Astyanax mexicanus: one gene and its partners. The protein of the gene in region 1 purifies or fractionates together with the protein of each later gene. This does not show direct contact. Links are inferred from orthologs where the notes say so. Each region holds a gene or a part of one and is shown in the gene's direction. Other genes may lie near its edges.

Evidence for each region. Proteins that work in one complex are often made in the same cells at the same time.
Region 2: the proteins of adra1d (region 1) and sntb2 purify together in Homo sapiens (tandem affinity purification; 4 studies listed by BioGRID and IntAct, with this or other methods). This does not show direct contact. The link is inferred for Astyanax mexicanus from reciprocal best matches to the Homo sapiens genes ADRA1D and SNTB2.
Region 3: the proteins of adra1d (region 1) and dtna purify together in Homo sapiens (tandem affinity purification; 4 studies listed by BioGRID and IntAct, with this or other methods). This does not show direct contact. The link is inferred for Astyanax mexicanus from reciprocal best matches to the Homo sapiens genes ADRA1D and DTNA.

What each region holds. Positions count from the first base shown.
Region 1 is NC_064432.1:568,396-576,043, reverse strand, and holds the start of adra1d (alpha-1D adrenergic receptor), read left to right. Parts: upstream 1-4,641; 5' UTR 4,642-5,049; coding exon 5,050-6,034; intron 6,035-7,648. UniProt on the Homo sapiens protein: This alpha-adrenergic receptor mediates its effect through the influx of extracellular calcium.
Region 2 is NC_064417.1:11,125,120-11,132,304, forward strand, and holds the start of sntb2 (beta-2-syntrophin), read left to right. Parts: upstream 1-4,180; 5' UTR 4,181-4,352; coding exon 4,353-5,019; intron 5,020-7,185. UniProt on the Homo sapiens protein: Adapter protein that binds to and probably organizes the subcellular localization of a variety of membrane proteins. May link various receptors to the actin cytoskeleton and the dystrophin glycoprotein complex.
Region 3 is NC_064413.1:498,100-505,775, reverse strand, and holds the start of dtna (dystrobrevin alpha), read left to right. Parts: upstream 1-4,671; 5' UTR 4,672-4,847; coding exon 4,848-4,864; intron 4,865-7,676. UniProt on the Homo sapiens protein: May be involved in the formation and stability of synapses as well as being involved in the clustering of nicotinic acetylcholine receptors.

The sequences.
Region 1 (7,648 bases):
TCCATTCAGAATGGAAATATATACATGAACACAGTAGTGTGCTATGGATATTATTTACAAGTAGGTGCATGTTATCTACAGCAGTGGAATATGAAAAAGTGCAAAAAGTTCAGTAGTGCAGTTATAAAATTGCAGTAAAGTGAGCATGTGCCTCTGAGAAATGTCCTTAACATGTAAACTTGTAGAGAGTAAAGTGAAATTAACACCAGGTTACACATTAAAATGCATTCTATTGAGACACTGCTGTGTACTTTATTTATTTAGTCTTTTCTCACTTAAACACTTGCAGAAAATCTTAATCTTAATCTTAAAGTCTTAATTCATCCATTCTTGCAGGAGGAAACACTACTTTTGGCCAAAAGATTGCATAATGGATTAAGAACAAAAAAAATCCTTGGAGGTGTAAACCACTACAGCCCTGATCAGACAGAATCCCAAGAATGGATGGAATCGGTCCCAGCATTACTGAGCAGGACTACAGAAAAGCCTCTCTGAGGAACGTCCAGCTGATCTTCATCTGACTTGCTAATGCAGTCGTGAGGATGCCAATTATGGGACTGCTTCTGTGAGGGCTGAAGCATGTTGCTCAAGGCTACAGTGACAACTGCAGTCTGTCTTCTAGTCATTTAAAAGTAAGACTGTTCAGGCATTCACCGGCCTCGCAAGATTTAGTGTCAACTTCCAAACTGAGTGTAAACAGAAATCCCCAAAAACTTACTCTGTATTAAAGGCCAGAGCTAATTTAAACAGGAATAAAGCTTTAGGGAATGTTTTACTAGTAGACTCTAATCACCTTTACCTGTAACGTTGGGAACAGAAGGGAGGCGGATTTAAATGCGGGTAAGACCAATACTTTAATAAATAACAAATAAACAAATAAACAAATAAACAAACAGGGGAATAACGAATATATCTATATACATAAACAAACAGGGAAAACCCACACAGAGCTAAGCTAAACAGATAATAACAAAACAGGGCTAGGGAACATATACAGGGGATAAATAAGTGAAAAATATACAAAATAAACAAAGAAACAGACAGGAACTAAACGTGAAAACAACAAACTAGAAATAAACAAGAACGTATAAATGCAAATGACCAAGAAACGAGGAATAACTATAACGTGGCGAGACAGACAACAAGGGAAGGTGCAAAGACCGACGGATAAACATGGACTAAAGTGAGCTATAAACAGTAACATGAAACACTGAACACCTAGGGAAGGGGCGGAGCTACAAATTACACACACGTGACGGAAAAGTACTGGAGAAACACAGTAGGAAACGGGGAAAACACAGGAAAACATAGCGAGGGCGTAACATTACCTTTAGTGATAGATATAGGGAGACTCAGCCCACATAAGTGATGACAATGACAGAAACCATAACTAACTATAATAAATGCAGCCTAAAAACAATGCAACTAAAACAGGAACAGGAACCATGGTCCAAACACTTACCCTGCTGCTTTCAGAAGCTGACTTTGCGTTTTCTCCCACTTTCCATCCTGCAGCCACCAGGTAAGTCACGTCCAGGTGGTTGGCTCTGGCACTGTCGTCTATGTGTGGCAGGATCTGCAAGGATTCAGATGTTAGAAGACCAGGGCCAATGCAGGAGTCTATACAAAAGGCTTCACTTACAAATATTTAGATCACATCGCTACATTTTCTGTCAAAATTAAACGTTTTTCTACAACTACAGTGGCAAAAGGTTAGTAAATCCTTTAGAATTTTCTATTGTTTAATTGTTTTGCAAAATATGACATAAAAAATATCAAAGTCCTAAAGGTAGATAAAGAGGACACACTTAAACAAATGGAACAAAAGAAAAATTAACCAATATTACATTTTTTTGAGTGGTTCCTGTCTTTCAAGCATCACTGTATGCATGCCTCTATCCTACAGATACAACAATGCAACAAAAAGTGCATTTCAATCTATTTCATGCAGTTTTACTGTTTTGAACAGGCCACTCTCTTGATCTATTTTGCCCAGGAACATAATTTATCTTATTTTAACATATCATGCTCAAACCACAAATGTGTTTTCTCGTAGATGCTAAATTAAGAAAATTGCTAGATGTTGTGTTAATACTAATTTTGCGTTCCTTTTTATTTTTGTACATACGGTATGATAGTGTGATGTTCTTTTTCTCTTGACATGCAGTATTCAAGCTCTTCAATCTCAACTACTGTAAGTATTCAATCCCAATTTAAGCTTCTTTAATATATTTACATTGTACTAAAATGCATTTATTTGAAATGGGCATATATACATATGCAGCTGAAACAGGGAGCCTAATGCATTGCATTTTTTCAACATTAACATTTTATTATAACATTATAGTCATTATGGCTTTTAGAAAAATGTGTTGTAGGGCGCGGGGGGGGGGGGGGGGGGGTAGTGCAGGCCTAATATTACTTGTAATGTAAATGATACAGACATTTTAAACCCTAGTGTCTATACTTCTACCTGAGTAATGCATCTGAATATTTTTTAATATTGGCTTTAAAATGGCTTTAAAATAACAGTGTTGTGTGTACTGGCAATACACCATATAAGTCATTACCACCTAAAGTGGACAGTGCAGTGGGTGGTGATGATTGTGACCGGCATTGTCTGGCTAGAATTGCCCATGCAAATAATCACATCACATCCACATTCAATGCAACATTTTCTGTTTGTATTCTGTGAGACATGGCAAAAGTCATTAAACACAATACTGGTTCCATATTCCATTTTTTTTTTTTTTTTGCCATTTTGCCATAATATGACACTTGTAGGCACTTTAAACAAGTTTGACAACATTAGCTTTTCCAACTTTGGAAAATGTCTATAAAATAACTTCCTGTTAGCATAAAATGAGTTAGTACATTAATATTTAGTTGTACTAACCTGCCAAACCAAATTGAGATTAGCATACAGTATATATCTCATAGTATTAGCGTGTCGTACACAGTTGGGACGCAGCCTTTGTTTTGTTATGTATGTAATAAATTCCCCCGGTACTCTTATGTCTTCTTTTTCACACTGGTCAGTGTTGTTTTCCCAGAGCTGTTCTGTACACAGTTCTAACCCCTCATCAAGGGCCCCTGGTGGCTTATAAAGACCCATCGCTTTAGCTGTGCAACTATTTGCACTGGGCCCAGGGGCGGCAGCTGCACTGCGTCAGTGGAAACAGCTCTAATTCAGTCTCTATTATTCAGAACAGGAATATTTTTTCCTCCTTTTTAACCCCATAGGGCTTCAGCCAACTTGTGGCCCCATGCAGAAATATAAATATAAATATATGAGCATAGATTTCTTTATGGGTAAAATACATTTTAAATACCTTTTATATATATTCTTATATAATGTAACATTTTAAAGATAAATATTCATGAGCATCTTCATGCATTTTTATATGTATTTATATATATATATATATATATATATATATATATATATAGTATATTGTAATAGTTTTTTTATAAATAAATTTAAATTAAAAACTAGTAGTAAAAAGTACAATATATAAACAAAATAAAAATAGAGTATATATATATATATACACTTATATATACACATTAATGCACTGTTTAAATGTACAATGTATAAAAATATACACTATGAACATATAGATGTTCAAATTACTATTTACATAAGCATGTAAGTGTCTATAATTATGTATAGTTTGTATGTTATTACTCTGTACATTTAAACAGTGCAAAAATGTATGAATAGTGTACATTAAGAGTGTATATGTAGACACTTATATTAAGGAAAAAAATGTTGGGCTATTTTCATACATTTACAAATGTCTTTATTTATGTATGTTATAAAAATATACATTAGATTTCTTTTTCATATAGGCAGCTCTTTTCCTTTGAAGTGGTCTCATGTTCAGTCTCATTCAAATCGTGTTGGTTCATTTAATTACAGTAAATCATCTAAACAATCAATCAGTTAATCAATCAACCTTTATTTTTACTTTGAGGTACACTCAGAGTGACTTTCATTTTTAACGTAGCTGAGCATTTACAAAACACAGTGACTGGAAAATAAAAATAAAACCAATAATATTATTTCATCTAATTATTCTAATATTTAAACTAATACAAAAAGACCAAATTAAGATTGAATCCATATGAGATGATAAAAGATCAAATAAAACCAAAAATATCATTTTAAAACAAGTAAAATGAGTCAAAACAAATAATGAAACCAAGACTAACTATTGAGTAAAGAACTACAAAAAGATTAACAGTACAAATGAAAGTAATAAACAGAAAATAAGATAATACACATTTACAGTGGATTTAGAACGAATAATTTCAAATAATTAATACAAATTAAAATAAAAAAATATTTACATATTTTGTATATATTTTTGCTTTAAAATAAAAACAAAACAAAATAGAAATAAAATGATTATTTTTCTCACCTCCTGCAGTATAACCCACCCCCCTCTGCTGGTCCCGCTGAGAACTGCACCGAATGAATTGAGATTTGTTCCACACCCGTTTTCCGAAAACCCCGCCCCCTTCGCCGTGATTGGCTAATAGTTCAAACAAGCGCTCTGGTGCAAACATTCTCTAATGTTTACTTGCACCCAATCACAGCTCAGGGAGCAGAACTCTCCAAGCAATCACAGTTGCGATAGGCGGGGCTTGCCTGAAAACGGGCGGGGAAACAGAGCGCGGTGCGCGCGCTTAATCCAGTTTGGAGCGCTCGGCTGAAGATGCCACTTGTGGAGATGTGACGGTGCGCTGACTCTGCAGCGCTGCGGACTGTCTCAACTGCTTCCCCGGATCCCTCTTCCTCTGGGAGGGCTGGAAACAAAGTCCTGGAGGATTCTGGAGGTGCAAAAAGAGAAGATCTGGTCCAAGGATGTGATGGTTCAGAAGTGGATGGATGCAGTTGGATGAGAAAGCAGACCCAATGAGAGCCAGGAGGAACTCAGCTTGGGACGGGGAGCCCAGACGGGCTTGGACATGATGATCCTGCCCGTCCACTGCAGGGAGTCAGAGCAGTAGAACTTTTCTCCTTTCCTTTATGGAGTGTCAAAAATGACCTTTTTCAAGTTGGTGAACGAGAGCAAAGATGCCATTGAAGCCCTCAATGAGACTTTGGACGTGGAGCCTTTATTGGTCAACAGTACCATTACAAAAAGGAGCACCAGCAGTAGAGGCGCCAACCTGACCTGCACTGGCATCCTCTTGGAGCCCCAAGTGGTGGCAGTGGGGGTCTTTTTGGCCATCTTCATCACGGTGGCGATTGTCGGCAACATTCTGGTAATTTTGTCAGTACTCTGCAACAGGCATTTGCGAACCGTCACCAACTTCTTCATTGTGAACTTGGCGATTGCTGACCTCCTGCTGGGAGTCGTGGTCCTGCCCTTCAGCGCCTCCCTGGAGGTTCTGGGATGCTGGGTGTTCGGCCGGGTGTTCTGCAACATCTGGGCAGCGGTGGACGTCCTGTGCTGCACAGCCTCCATCCTCAGCCTGTGCATCATCTCTGTGGACAGGTATGTTGGGGTCAAGTACTGCTTGAGGTACCCCACCATCATGACAGAAAGGAAGGCAGGTGTCATCCTGGTGGTCATCTGGGTGGCATCTGCCGTTATCTCCATAGGACCTCTCCTAGGGTGGAAGGAGCCACCACCAGCTGACGAAAGTGTCTGCAGCATCACCGAGGAACCAGGCTATGCCCTGTTCTCCTCGCTCTTCTCCTTCTACCTGCCACTTTCTGTCATCCTGGTGATGTACTTCCGGGTGTACGTGGTGGCCCGGAGGACCAGCCGGAGTCTGGAAGCCGGCGTCAAACGGGAAAGGGGAACCTCCACGGATGTGGTGCTGCGCATCCACTGCAGGAGCCTTCCCGAGGAGGCTCTGGAGCACAGTCGCAGCCGGGGCAGGGGTCAGCCCTTCCGCAGCTCACTGTCCGTGCGACTTATGAAGTTCTCCAGAGAAAAGAAGGCAGCCAAAACTCTGGCCATCGTGGTCGGGATGTTTGTGCTGTGCTGGCTACCCTTCTTCTTTGTGCTGCCGTTGGGTATGTAATGGGCTTCTTCTATTCTATTTTGCTTTTGCTGGGGGTTCATATTGAAGTCTTGGAAGTTTGTTTTAGAAGGTATAATAAATCAAATGTATTCTACACTGTTTTCTAGTAATTCAATATATAAATATATATATATTTTGCGATAGAATATGTTTAACTAATGGTAATATGATTTTACAACATGTTTTCAATATTTATTTCAATATAGATGATTTCCAGCCTCTGTACAGAACTGATTGTGGTTTGTTACAAGAGTGCATGCGTTTGCAGGTACAGATATCTGTTTTGAGCAGTTTATCTGTGGCTTTTATATTGTTCATATCAATCAAATCATTATTCATATCAAAATTATATTGTATCGATACAAATGTGCTAAATATAAGATCTCTTCTTAGGGATGCTTATATAAAACAAATATATGTAATTCTACAATGCACATTTTAGCTTCAGTAAATCATCAAATGTATTAGCTGTTTAACTACACTTGGGACAATTAATACATTTAAAAAGGGAAACTGTCACTTTAATGTATCTAAGGTAATTTAAAGCAGGATTAATTTGTAGATATGTACATGTTTTCTTTCAGAGGTAGTTTAAAGGGTTCTTTAAGTGAAGCAAAAGAGGAGACATTTTTTGTCTCTAGATAAAAAAACATTTTTGGAAAAAGATAGGACAAAAACGTGTACACTGGTTCTTCAAACATGCACATTGAACAAAAAATGTTTTTCCATGGCACCAATACAAATACAAGGACGCCCTGTATCATGTTCAATTTAGTGTAAAATGATTGCATACTTACAGTTTTTTTATATAGAGATATAGGTATATCCTAGGGCTGAACACTTTTTTGTTCAATATATATGCAATATATATTGAGATATAAAAAAAAAACCAAATGACCCAGCATGTCAGGATATTAATCATGCATTTAATTTCAATAATATTAAAATATATAAATATATAAATATATATATATATATATATATATATATATATATATATATATATATATATATATATATATATATATATATATATATTAGACAATAAAAGTCTACCTCTAGCCAAGATGTCATGGAACATTAGGACTGTGTTTATTTTTCTTGTGAATCAAACAGCTAAAAAGTTACATTCCCCTTACATAACACTGCACATGATCACACTGCAGTGATGGTGCTGAAACTATATATAAATTATATAGTATATATGCAGTAATACATTGTACTGTAAAGTAGTGTCCGTACATATTTGATCTAGGGGTTGAGGTTTTCCTGGAGGAGTCAGGATAAAGATTTGAGTCTCAGTGAATTTTTAATTTGTAGTAATTTGTGGCTGTCCATATTAAAATGTAATATATGCTCATGTATATGCACAAATAGCAAGGATTGGGTATATATTTTACAATATTGTATATGCACACACATATATAAAAATACATACATATATATATTAATAAATATGATAGTTTGTTTTTTAAGGTACTGGAAAATAAATTGTAATATATTGCTTTCTTTTTAGTACCACAATATATCGCCCTACTCTTAACATTGCAATATATCGCCGCCTTTATCTCAATATGACAGTATATTGCCTTATTCTCAAGATCAC
Region 2 (7,185 bases), on another chromosome or scaffold:
TTCAATTGGCAGAGAGAGCTTCTGAACATCCTGCATCACCATCAACACCTCCCTACACCCCCTTCCCACAAGCCCAGACCCCCCGACTGCAAATCCCTTCACTCACAGTGTTTTAAATGCTGTAGATCTGCAATAAATAAAAATTGAAAACACATTCATTTGAAGAAATTCTGTTTTCAGCATCTCTGTCCAGTGTAGAGATATAAAGAACATATATCCCACATTCTCCACCCTCAGCTCCACTATCAGCCTCACAGCCTGTGTGAGTTATAAGTAAATACTCATTCATTTCTACTTCAACCTCTGTATATCTCTTACACTTAAACACACTGTACCTGTAATACTGATTTATGTAAACAAGTTTTTTTTTATTGGCTGGGCTGTTGTGGGTCTCATTCATAAACAGTATATATATATATATATATATAACTTGCTGAAGGGTGGTGCTAAAAAAGGTGTAGTCTCTATGGAGGTACTACAGACCTCAGAGACAACAGATAATTTGACTTTAAAAATCTTTAGATGACATGAGCCACAAAATGTTCCTGTACGATGGTTAAGTATGGTTAAGAGTCTGCACTGTGTTTTAGATGGTGAATTTTATCTGACAACAGAAATAAACAGTAGTTTAATTAATCACAATAGAAGTTTAAAAATCTGATTAACCGCAACAGTATTCTGACATTAATCACACTTTTTCATCCCTAAAAAAATTATGTATTATGATATCAGTCGGCTCTGTTAGGATGCATTGAATTAAGTTTGCTTGCTTTGGTTTAAATAAACGTAACAGGTGCGCTGGAGAGAAATACTCTCTCCTTATCCATCCTGATTGACTCTTTTCTAGTTTTGCGTTTTGCTAGTGTTTGCTAGAATCTGGAGACATTTCTGTGAACAAATCGACAAGAAACCACCGCATGGTCTCAGGAACTCAGGAAATCACTGTCTGTGAACACAGTTAACTGTCTGTGAACACAAATGTTAACATGATCCAGAAACAATGCCATCTTCTTTCAGCCAATGTATGGGGTTGCAAAATTGAAAATTCTCTATCAAAAACTCTACACGCAGCTGTTCAAAGAAGAGGTGATGCTACACAACAGTAGACATAGCTCTGTCCCAACCTTTTAAGAGGTGTTGCTGCCATCAAATTCTATTCTAAAGGAGCTAACTTTTTTATGAAATGGTAAAGCTTACTTTACATCTGATATTTATTTTATTGTATTATAAATAAAATATGGGTGTTATGAGATTGGAATTGCATTCTTTTTTATTTACATTTTACACAGTTTCCCAACTTTGTTTGGAATTTAAGTTTTATTAGAATTAATTTAAATAATAAACAAAATGTAACCCATTGTAAATAGGTTATGCAAATACTACAGGATACAGTTGGAGGAAAAGTATGTCAACCCTTTGGGATTACTTGGATTTCTGCACAAATGGGTCATTAAATGTGTTCTGATCTTCATCTAAGTCACAAGAATAGACAAACCCAGTCTGCTTGAACTAATACCACACAAAAATATATGTTTGCATGGTTTTATTGAACACAACATGTTAATATTCACAGTGAGGGAGGGAAAGTATGTGAACCTTTGGATTTAATAACTGGTTGACCCTCCTTTGGCAGCAAAAACCTTAACCAAATGATTCCTGTAGTTGCAGATCAGACCTGCAGAACAGTCAGGAAGAATCTCAATTGGGTTGAGATCAGGACTCTCCAGAAGGCGTTTTTTCTTCTGTTGAAGACATTCGGTTCTTGATTTATTTCTATGTTTTAGGTCGTTTGTCCTGTTATCCATCTTCTGTTGAGCTTCAGTTGGTGGACAGATGGTCTTAAGTTTTCCTGCAAAATGTCTTGGTAAACTTTGTAATTCATTTTTCCGTTGTTGACAGCAATCCTTCCAGACCCTGAGGCAGCAAAGCAGCCCCAAACCATGATGCCCCCTCCACCATATTTCACAGTTAGGATGAGGTTTTGATGAGGGTGTGCTGTGCCTTTTTTCCACACACAAACGTTGTGTGTTACTTCCAAACAACTTAATTTTGGTTCCATCTGGCCACAGTATATTTTGCCAGTACTGCTGTGGAACATCCAGGTGCTCTTTTGCAAACTTCAAACTTGCAGCAATGTTTTTTTGGACAGTAGTGACTTCCTCTGTGGTGTTCTCTGATGAACTCCATTCTTGTTTAATGTTTTTCCTTTTTGTAGATTTGTCAACAAAAATGTTAGCATGTGACAGTAATTTCTGTAAGTTTTTAGCTGACACTCTAGGATTCCTCCTCACCTCATTGATCATTCTGCACTGTACTCTTGCGGTCATCTTTACAGGACGACCACACCTAGGGAGCATAGCAACAGTGCTGAACTTTCTCCATTTGTAGACCGCCTGTCTTACTGTGAACACATGAACATCAAGGCTTTTAGAGATACTTTTGTAACCCTTTCCAGCTTCATACAAGTCAACAGTTCCTGAATGTACAGTAGGTCCTCTGAGAGATCTTTTGTGCGAGGCATGATTCAAAAGCAGTGCTTCTTAGGAACAACAAACTCAAAACTGGTGTGTGTTTTTATAGGGTAGGACAGCTTTAACCAACACATCCAATCTCATCACATCCTGGTTCCAATTAGCTCTTAGAAAAGTCATTAGCCTAGAGTTTTATATACTTTTTCCACCCTGCACTGTGAATGTTAACATGTTGTGTTCAATAAAACCATGGAAACATATATATTTTGTGTGGTTTTAGTTTAGGCAAAAATCAAAGAAATCCCAAAGGGTCTCACATTTCCACTGCTGACAGGAAGAGACTGAACAAGATCATCGCAAGGTCCAGCTCTGTCCTGGGGTGGTGTGAGATGGGAGCATGAGAACGGCGTTTAAACACATGCTGTAGAACCTATGCACCACTCACCACAGCATTGGGCAGTTTCTTCAGTGCCTGGCTGCTGCTATACCCACGGTATGTGAAGTAGAGATACCACAGGTCCGTCCCTCCTTGCTGCTGCAAGAATGTCCAACTGTAGTTTACTATTTCTTACAGTGTGAATTGAAACAGTTAACTTATTACTGATCTTATGGTTTAGAATGTGCAACATTTTAATTCACCATGTGTATAATTCGCCATATGTACAAACATCAGTTATTGATGTTTAATAAGGCTGTATTTAGGTTGCCATAGTAACTGTAGGAGGGTAGGGGTGGCTTGGCCTGGCTGGACTCCTGACTGGACTTTAAGGACAGGAGGGGTGAAATATGGAGGGAGAGTTGGAGGAGGAGGAGCAGGCTGTGTTTATAACTGTTATAATAACAGGGCTGTTATAAGAGTAGCACTCTGTTGGAATATCCCCCCCCCCCGCCCCCCTCCCTGCAGCAGCTTCCCTGCAGCAGCTTACTCAGGCATGATTGCCTTGTGGACTACAATCCTGAGAACTGACACCCTATTGGCTGTTCCAGCCTTATAATCCAGCCAAACCCCAGTTGGATGACTCAGAAAACTGATTGTTATAATGCTCTTATAGCACAATTAATGCAAAAACCACCCCCCCCCACCACCACCACCCACAAAAAACCCCCACAAACCTCAAATTACACTTTTTATTAATTAAGCTCCATCCTCACAGAGGAAAAAACATCTCTACACAAACCAGAACGGCCCTTTTTTAAATATGTAAACCTATGGCTAACCTGTTAAACATAATTTATATTGGATGATCACCCTTAACAGGTGGTTTATGCAAATGATTCCACTTCTAAGAAACATTTTCTTGCTGACTGTGCAGAACCCCAGTGCAGGACCTTAGCATGAGCACGTGTTTCAACAAAAATGTAATTATTACAGTGTGCTCTGACTGAGCGCTCTACAACAGAAGAGCATGCTATTTTTATCATTTAAAACAAGGGGCCCTCACACAAAAACATAAAGCTGAACTCAAAGCAAAAGCCCTGGAACTGAAGTGCATGTTTACTACGTGATGTAGAACACAATGTACAACAGGCGTGCATTTCTAGAACACAAGTCACGTTTAAGAAGCTGGATGAAGTGTTGTAGAAGATAAGTGCGCACTTGTTGAGGAGGAGAGAGGCCATTCTCTCCAGATACTTCTGATTTACAAACTCTTAGCCAATAGCACGAGGGGCGGGGCTAGTCTGAAAACGGGTAGGGAAAACACGCAAACTTGTAAACTGTGTGTGTGTGAGTTTGTGTGTGTGTGTGTGAGAGAGAGAGTGTGTGTGGGCGTGTACATGTGTGTGTGTGTGTGTGTAGAGTTGTACTCGGGAGCGGAAACTGAAAGTTCGGACGGTATGAGGGGTTCGGTATGAGGAGTTTGGACTGAGCGCGCGCGGGTGATGGCGATCTGGACTCGTGCGGATAAGAACGGTCAGCTGGACCTGCTGCTGCGCGAGCGCTGGGTCCGGGTCACGGCCGACCTGAACCGGGACACTCTGACCCTGACTGCGGAGGGGGAAGCGAGCGGTGTGGAGCTCAGAAACGGACTGTCTAACGGGGGTGATCCCATCAGCGAACAGAACCGACTCCGGAACCAGAACCCGGAGCTTCAGCCGAACCACGGGCACTTAAAGCCCAGTGGTGGCAGCGTGTACGGCTACAGCAGCCCCCGCAGACCGAGCCGCGACAACGGCACTAGCTCGGACTACGGCAGTCCCGGGTCAGGCTACGGAAGCCCAGGCTCCAGTTTCAGCTCCAGACATGGGGAGGGGGCAGGAGGCGGCAACAGCAGCGCAAACTTCGACACGAGCCCAGCGGAGACCGTGAGGAAGGTCCGGGTGGTGAAGCAAGAGTCCGGCGGACTGGGTATCAGCATTAAGGGTGGCCGGGAGAACCGCATGCCCATCCTCATCTCCAAAATCTTCCCCGGTCTGGCCGCGGACCAGAGCCGCGCGCTGCGCGTGGGAGACGCGATCCTGTCCGTTAACGGCAGCGACCTCCGCGAAGCCACGCACGACCAGGCGGTGCAGGCGCTGAAAAAGGCGGGGAAGGAGGTGACGCTGGAGGGTGAGTGCTCAACGCAAAGCCGGGGATTTACACGGCCTGCGGGCTGCGCTGCGATAACACCGCTCCCGCCTCAAATATAAACACACACAGCCGGGCACGCGGGTTCTGCTGTACTGGTTCTGCAGTATTGACTTAGCACACTATTGTTCTAAAACTAGAACGCATAGCTAGCACATTCTTGGTTTTGAACTAGAACTCTTGCGCATGCACACTCATGTTCTAAAACTAAACACTCAGCCAGCCTGGGTTTACTGTGTTCTGGAATGTGATCGAGCAAAGTTATATTCTAGAGCTAGGGCACTTTGACCATGCACGCTTGCGCTCTAACACCAGAATGGTGGCAGTAACCAGGCTGTATCTATATTCTAGAACTTTTTCAATCTCAAGTTGTACATCTAGAACTTTTAGATCCCAGGTGTCACACACAAGGCCTGTCAGCTATAGGATGAAAATGCAGGCAAAAAGGAAACAATAATACGCATCTGATTAATAGGGATTTAGCCACAGGTTAGCAGTATTACATATATTTGAGCCTTGTTATTAATTGCTTTAGTCAAGCTTTTTATGCTAGTGTAAATATTGTTAAAATATATTGGTCAAAATATCATGTTATATCACAGTATATCATAATATCATAGTATTTAGCACAATACTTTTAATGCAGATAATATATCAGTGAAGATGATTCTGAAATACTCCTCCATACAGTACAGTGATTTATATTTAACATTCTTCATTATATCCTGTTAAACTGCACTAATAACACTCTCTATACACAAGTGCACAGTTGGTCAGTGTTCATTAAGCACTGATGATATCCACAATATGTTTATAAAAGTATACTGTATCACATTAACACGTTTTCTCAATGAAATAAAATATTGTCATATTGCCCAGTCCTACTTTTTCATCTCTGCTTTGTCTCACAAATCAGTCAAGAGTTTATCTCTTTCCACTGTCTGAAACAATGCCATTATTGATATCTGACCTAACCAGTGAAATAAATGAACTGGTCCCTAGCAACCAGGAAAGTGTGAGTTGCGTTTAGGTGTATATGCTGGTATGTGGAAATATCTGTTGTAAGTTATGACCAACAACCTAAACGTAATGAAACAGGAACACCCATGAATTAATGGCTATGAACCCAACTAGATATTTTTAGACAAACATGAACATCCATTATGTAATAATGTTTGTTCAGTCAGGGTACTCTGGCCTTTATGCAGCTGTTCTGGGACTAACTGGTCACAGTCCAGTTCTGATACTGTACGATAGAAATACACAATAATACACATACCTCCACGTTTCTGTGGACACCCCTTATATTACAGCATCCATTCCTTTTAGGATGAGTTAAAGAGGTGAGGTGGGGTGGTGATCTTTCATCATCATGACCTTGCTAACACTCAATGAAAACAATGAAATCCTCACAGCAATTCTCCAAATTCTATTAGAAAGTCTTCCCTGGCCAGTAGTGACAATTACTCAAACAGAGTCAAGATCAGCTTTTTTTAATACCTTTAAATCAGAAGAAAGAGCAGGTGTCCTAATACAGTCAACCACATAGTATAGGTGCTGTCTGTATACCAGTAAAATAAAACAGAAAAAAGAGCAGTAAAATTAGTCAGGTCTGCAGGACAGTAAAGTCCCTCTGCTGCTGGAGTCGGGAGTAGTGTTACAAAACAGCCCATTCAAAATAAAGGTCCGATTGTGTTTCCAGTTTGATCAGCGTAGCAGGAGAGCAAGGCTGATATCACCATCACACGCTCTCAGATCTGTTCTTGTCCACAGGTCAGTCAGGCCTAAAACTGCTGATCAGACCACAAACTAAAGAATTACACTAATTTAACTTAGCTGAACGCTGAGCTGCAGATGGTGTCCACTGTGGATGCTTCACCAAAGATGAGATCTTTTGTTTTGTCCAATTAAAAAATGGGCAATAAAACAAGGGGCTCTATTTATGCTCCGTTCTACTTTCACTGCCTTCTTCTGAAGCTAGAACCGAGTGACCTCCAGCAGGGCCAAACACAGAGTGGCTGACACAACAGAACTGTGCATCCCAAAACCCAAACTGGAAGTGAAACTGATGTCACATGACCTGCATGGCCTCTTTCAGTTTAGTGTTAGTTGGAGGCAGTTTTCTACTCCAGCTGTTTGTGTGCTTTA
Region 3 (7,676 bases), on another chromosome or scaffold:
ACAAAAAATAAATTAAAAACAAAAGGAAATCACTTTATTTGCAATTAAATTTTTTACTTGAGCATAGGTCATATGTGACAAAAATAAAATTTTATTTATTTATTATTTTTTTACTATTTCATTTTAATTACCATGTAGGTATTTCACAGTTAAAACTAAAATGAAAAAGATAATTGTAAAATAAAAAGACAAATAAAAGCTTCACTTTGGTCTTGCCTTTTCTTGATGAATTGTATAATAAACGTCAAAAATAGAATAAAAATGCAATAAAAATGCAATAGATAGTCTTAATAACTGTTAATACGTTGTACATAAATGACCCACTAATGGACTGGATGCTATGATGCCATTTATTGATCTGCAGCAGCAGAATTAATGAAACATGCCTTATAAGACTTATAAGACTTTTATCATTTTGTTAAACTGTTCTCAGCACAGATCTCACCTCGTAAACTGCCTCCATCTTCCACTAAAGGATGTTTTAATAGTTCAGTGTCAGGCATCGCACAGCACGCATCAAAATCTGTAAATAAATAGTAAATAATTGGCTGAATAATAATAATAATTAATAAATAATAATAATAATAATAAAGCACAGAGCTGAAAGTAACAGGAATGACTTTTTAGCATGAAATTAGCAAAAACATGAAAAATAGCTAAAAAAAAAAAAAAGACCTCTGAAGGATTGTAATAATTATATAATCTTATTTTGTTTACATTACATTACATTTATACATGTAATTTTCTGGGGACAGAAATGGCACAGATTTGGTGGAACGGCCCTTAACCACTTAGGTTATAAGAATCATTAAAATTTTAAGCAGGCAGCACTGTGGGCATGACAAAACCCACCCCTTACATTAAAGAAAATTAAAGTAAAATCTGTATAAAATTCTCTTTTCTTGTAATAATACGTTTATTTTGAGTGAATATGTAGAAAAAATGCTTTCTTACACAAACAAATATAACAAATATTAGACTTGGACATTTATTATTGAGGAAAATGATCCATTTTTGAGTGGAAAAGTGTCAAGCTAACATCTAAAACTAAAACTAAACAAACTTTATATCAAGTTTTATCAAAGTAAAAATAACTTCAGAGCCAAAACACGTAACTTAATTCACTAGCTTACCTGTTCAGACGCAGACAGGTGATGCTGTTTATCTTCAGCTTTGTGTATCACTGACGGTTGCTAAGCAACAAGCGCGCAAACACACGGAAACAGCGCAGGAGGGCAGCAGTGAAGCACCAGCATGGATTTTTAGTTTATAGTAGAGCTGTGTAATCCAGATCCAGAAAATTAAAATCCATCGCAGGGTTTCGCACCAACTGCCTGGTCCGCGGAGCAGGCAGTTGGTACAAAACCCTGGGACGGGTTTTTTTCCCGTTTTTTTACACCTCTAGTTTATAGCTATTTCTACTTAAAGTTCTTTATAGACCAAATTAACTCGTTTACTCTAGAAAAAACTGCTCAAAACAGCACAGGACAGCTTTAAATACCCCCAAAAAACTAACAAAAACACACAGACGAAAGCAGCAACCGTTCTGGAGATATTTCTAGTAATTAAAAATAATATCTGAATTTTAAATAGGATTTAAGGCCAAATATATATATATATATATATATATATATATATATATATATATATATATATATATATATATATATACATATATATATATATATATATATATATATATATATATATATATGTATATATATATATATATATATATATATATATATATGTCGTATTTGTTATAATTACACTATATTAATAAATATTTCTTTTCTATATAAAAACAAAGCCAATGGGAGCAGGGAGAGCACAGCCCCGTGGAGAAATTCCGCATTACGTCATTGAAGCAGCGCGTGCTGTAGTGAAGCGGAGGTGTTCTGCCAAATTGTGCTACCCAACGATATGTGCTATCGAGCGGCTCTGCGCATGCGTGAATTATTTCTTCATTTATTTTTTTTCATGCGATTTTCCTTACAATTATAGCTTTTTTCCCCTCGGGTACATGATACAAACTGTGCTCACTGTCATTGTTTGCTTGAATGACACAAAAAATATATATAATAAAATATAACGAAAAATATATAATAATTCATATTTTTACAGCGATTGAGGCTAATATTAAACTATTATAATAAATTATTAAAATATTATACCAAGACGTTGTGTAAGAAAAAAATATATATATATAATTTTAAAAATTAAAAGGTTTTTAAATCACCTATATTGCATTAACTTTGCACTGATTCAGCAGTATATTGCTTTACATAGGTATATTGCCTTAACTTTACCCTGATGCAGCGATTAAGACTTCAAATATCAACGATTATTACAAATATTACAAATATTATAAAAAAAAATTGTGTATCATTTTTTGCACGAAATCTTATAATAAAATATAATGAAAAAAAAACATTAAAATGGTTTCACCTATATATAATCACCTATATTTCTTTAACTTACATTTTCTACACCAATTTACGCTATTTAAATATCATACAGAGACTTATTATAAAAGAAATTATAATACATTATGATACAAATACTACTTAAAAGTATATCAGCGTAACGTTAGGCCAATATAGGTGATTAGAACCCGCTTTTATAGTACTTTTTCATTATATTTTATTTTAGTTTTTTTAAACACAAAAATCTTTTTTTATTATATTTGTAATAATAGATACCGCGATTTATGCTATTCAATATCATATATCAAATATAATACAAATATTATTTAAAAAAATGAAAAATTATATAATAAAATATAATAAAATAAATATATAAAAGCAGGTTTTAATCACCTATATTTAATTTACTTTTCCATTTTTACAGCGATTCACGCTATTCAAATATATATTAATGATATCATTCCGAGATTTATACCCTGGGTAATTTTTGGTATTTTTAGCTTTAAGTATATAGCTACAGTAGGGGGGTAGCAGGGTTTGGCATGGTAGCAGAATCGGACAGTACACCGGCGCTGCTGTGAGTTCAGTGCTGCAGTTAGGGCTCATATATGTGCTGTAATGCTGGAATTTACGGCGCGGTAGTTTAATACAGCGGGGATTATGTACCGGTCCCGGTCCTGCGGACCCCGGGCAGCGCGCAGTACCGGTAACACCGGCCGCCGGGGTTTATTCTCGCGGTTTGGGCGGTGATGCGGCGGAGGGCTGGTGAGTACCGGGGGCAGGTCTAACCCTGCTGCTGCTGCTGATCAGAGTTACACTGTCTGTTTCCTAATAAATATAATAAATACAGTTTATAACAGCTGAGTGAGACTAGCAATATAATAATAATATATTTATTTATATAACTAACTAACAACACTGATTTAATGGGAAAAAAGGGAAACAGCAAATTATTTATATATCAATATTAATAAATATATTTATTAATTCCAGAGTGAAATTCTAAAATGTATAATATGTATATACAGCTCTGGAAAAAAATAAGAGACCAGAGTTTCTCTGATTTTGCTATTTATAGGTTTATGTTTGAGTAAAATGAACATTGTTGTTTTATTCTATAAACTACAGACAACATTTCTCCCAAATTACAAATAAAAATATTCTCATTTAGAGCATTTATTTACAGAAAATGAGAAATGAGAAATGGCTGATATAAAAGTCATTATTTCAAGATACTGTCTCATTATTTTGAGATATTAAGTCATTTTTTTAGATGCTGTCTCAATATTTTAAGATACTAGGCCATTATTTTGAGATACTATTTCATTGTTGGTAGATACTAGCCTAGGTCATTATATTGAGATAGCATGTCACTATTTTGAGATACTATCTCAATATTCTGAGATGCTGGATCATTATTTTGAGATACTATCTCAATATTCTGAGATACTGTCTCTATATTCTGAGATGCTGGATCATTATTTTGAGATACTATCTCAATATTCTGAGACACTAAGTCATTATTTTGAGATACTATCTTAGTATTTTGAGTCAAAAAAGTTTTGATTCCTTTAAAAGCACCTATATTTCATGATGTGAATCCATGTCTGAAGTAGTCAATGATAGTATAGTATCTTTGCTTCTGTCTCTGTACAGTCTACTAGTATCTTAAAATAATGAGATAGCGTCTCAAAATAATGACTTAGTATGTCAAAATAGTCACTTAGTATGTCACAATATTGAGAGAGCAGTTTGCTTAATAATAATAATAATAATAATAATAATAATAATAATAATAATAATAATAATAATAATAATAATAATAATTAAAATGTGCTGGATTATTTAAATTATTTTAAGGTGGTGGGAATGGGCTTCCATAAGCTAGCCTTAGAGAGAAAGTAGATGTGAGAGTGAGGAAATCTCCTGAAAGACTTTGTGAAATGGGTTTGAGGAAATGGTTAATTACCATGCTTTAGAAACTACACATTACAGGACATAAATTACAGCGATGCTTCCCCAGCTACTGCAGCGTAGCCTCTTTATTTCATTAACTCCATATATTACTCTGGAATAAAGAGAGAGGTGGCAGTGGGGCGTTTAGAGGCAGGGCAGAGGCATGGTAACCGAGTCTGGAGCTGGGGGATCCGGCTGAGCCGGGGAGGAAGAATGTGAGTCTGATCAGTAGAGGTTAAAGATAGAGCAGTGCAGGCTGGAGCCGGACAGTTTCTAATTTCAGGAGCTGCTCTCGCCTCGCTGCTCTGCTTTTGTTGTTTGTGGTGGAGTGGGGTGGGGTGGTGGGGTGGTGGTTTAGTGGTCGGCCTATTGAGAGGCAGAGGGGCGTCCAGAGCAGGAGCTTCATTACAGCCTGCAGGACTTTAACAGCAGGACGAGGTACGTCCTGTGGTCTGCAGGTGGATCATGGTACTGTCTGAAGGGTATGTATTCTCATATTTTAAATATACCTACTGTGTTTTACTCTCTGAGTCTGAGAGTCTGGGTCAGTTGTGTTTGGTTTGTAAGTGTCCTGTAAAGTCTCTGAAGGACAAATCTGTTATATTGAGTTTAACCTCTTAAGTTCTGCAGAACCACCTGTTATTCCTGGTGTTTGCATTGATTTGCATGTAGTTACTGGAAAAAAAATGTATTATGCACCTGTAATCTAGTTTTATATTGCTTCTACTTCCCTATGCTTCCATACTCTTCTTTTATATTATGTGTATTTATCTTGTTTTCTATTTCATTCCAATTTATATTGTTTTATTTTGTTTTATCCTACATAATAATTGCTCTTTTGGACAGAACTGGGCCGTGAGATTACAGTTTCGTTTCACCTCATGTACCACGTGTGATTTTTTAAATCACAGCCTGTTTTTAAATCTTTATTTGTACTATAATTACACTCTGTACAACATGTACATCTGCACTCTGTGACTCTATTGACATTTTACTGTACATCTTGTACATTCACAGTCCTGTGCACTACTTACACTTAAGTTAAATACATTACTTGCGTCGGTTTATATTTAGTATTGGCATATCTGCTTATACATGCTTTCCCTTATACTTAATTTATAATAAATTTATTTACCTCATATCAATGGTTAGGTCTATCTATTGCTTGAAGACTAACCCTTAGGATGTTATAGGTTATATGTAATAAGTAACAGAGCATAAGGTGTTATGCTTGCCATATGATCACTACATAGTAAAATATTTTTATCTTTTACATTAAAACATTAAACAAAACTCATTCAAACTTATACCGTATACCGAAATTTAATTTCAGATTTCAGTTCTTACAGAACATACTTTACAGTTTGCTTTCCTGCTTTATTTTGCATGGATTGACTAGCCATTTGCTTGATTATAATGATTATAATTTGTATGTATTTATTTATTAGTCCCACTTTGTCTTATTGTAAGATACCTGGAAAATAAAACCCTGGTCAAGATTTCTTCATCATTTCTTAACTTATAGGGTTTAGTATTCGTTTTTTTTCTGGTGTCTTTTAAAATGTGGTTGCTTGATTAATTGTCAAAATGATTACACAACACATCAAATAGAAATGTAGCGGATTGCATGATATTTGGTGTTATAAAATGAGAGAAATGCTATTATTCTTCTGTTTTTTGGGGGGTAAACATGCTGTTAGTGAGAGTGGCGCTGGCTGGCTGGCTGGCTGGTGTTGGTGTGTTGGTGGATTGGGGGCAGCGCATTCTCTGAACCTAATCATGCATTTCAGACTCAGCGCTGATGAGCAGAATGGGCTCGGATGAGTAGAATCCGTGAGATTGCCGGATCTCATAGCCCTGTTTCTCTCGGATAGTTTAATAGTTTAATCCATGTGTTGGCAGGCGACGCTCGGATCGTTTGGAGCGGGTTCTGCTGGAGTTGTTATCAGAGAGGAATGCAACCTTTTTAAAATCACATTACTGTTTTTTACTGTCTGTATCTGTAGGATCTACATCTCTTATAAATGATTAGCAGCATCTTTTCATACGTGTCTGACACGTTTCACACAATCTACTCACTAATAAGGCTGGGTATTGTTTTAAAATTTTCAATACCGATACCAAAACAATACCTATTTTGATACTTTTTTCTAAATTGTAACCAAACATTAAAGGTCACCTTCCGCGAAAATCCGATTTTTCTTGTTTTTTGTGGAATACAGTAGGTCTCTCCGAGTTGAATGTGTACACCTGCACATTAAACTGTTTTGCAGCCCCCATTGTCTGCAGGAGCTAAGCAAAGAAATCCCCCCTCCCCCCCTCCGAAAAACGGGTGAATTTTGAATTATCTTTCTGCCTACGTAGGCAGAAACTCACAGACCAGCCCACCTTGGCTCGAGAAACTCCCAGAGGCGGAGCTGAAGCGACGCAACATCACCGCTCATCAGTTAGGAGGTGGGAGGCAGTGAGCGGCAGAGCGGTGGAGGGGCGTCGCAGTGCTCCTAGCCAATCAGAGGAGAGATATTTGCATGCTGTTTGCATGTATGAATATTCATGAGCAAAGCTGGAATCCGGTCATTTTGGACACACCCCTAAAACAGTCCATTAAAAAAGAGCTATACAGAGACACCTGAGCACTTTTTTTTTACAAAAACGGCTCACATGTCATTCATTCATACTAGAGACCACAACTAGACATTTTAAAATGAAAGAAAAAACGACGGAAGGTGACCTTTAAAAAAGTGATAATAATTCCCACACAGTGTATTTATTTAACTCATTCTCATACTGTCACCATAAGAGGAAACATCTTTCTGGATCCTGTTGAAATAAAAATAAACACTAAGCATTTGGTTTGTGGGGTTTGACAGCGGGGTAAACATTTTGAAGAGCTCTATAGTCTAAATCTACTTCGAAAGATTCATCTACACTTTATTGTACTTCAACCTGTCGACTCTCTCCCTCTCTCTCTCTCTCTCTCTCTCTCTCTCTCTCTCTTTAGGATGTTCTGTCTCTCTCTTACTCTCTGTCTCTCTCTTCTGTCTCTCTCTCTCTCTCTGTCTCTCTATGTCTTTTCTCTCTCTCTCTCTCTCTCTCTCTGTTTTTCTTAGTCGCTTTGTCTCTTGCCCCCCCTTTCTCTCTTTCTTTCTCTCTCTCTTTCTGTCTCTCTCTTGGATTTTCTGTCTCTCTCTTACTCTCTGTCTGTCTCTCTCTCTGTCTCTCTTGTCCCCTTTTCCAGCTCTTTCTTATATTTCTTAAAAAGAACCCTTTAAAACTGAGCTGCATCCAACATTT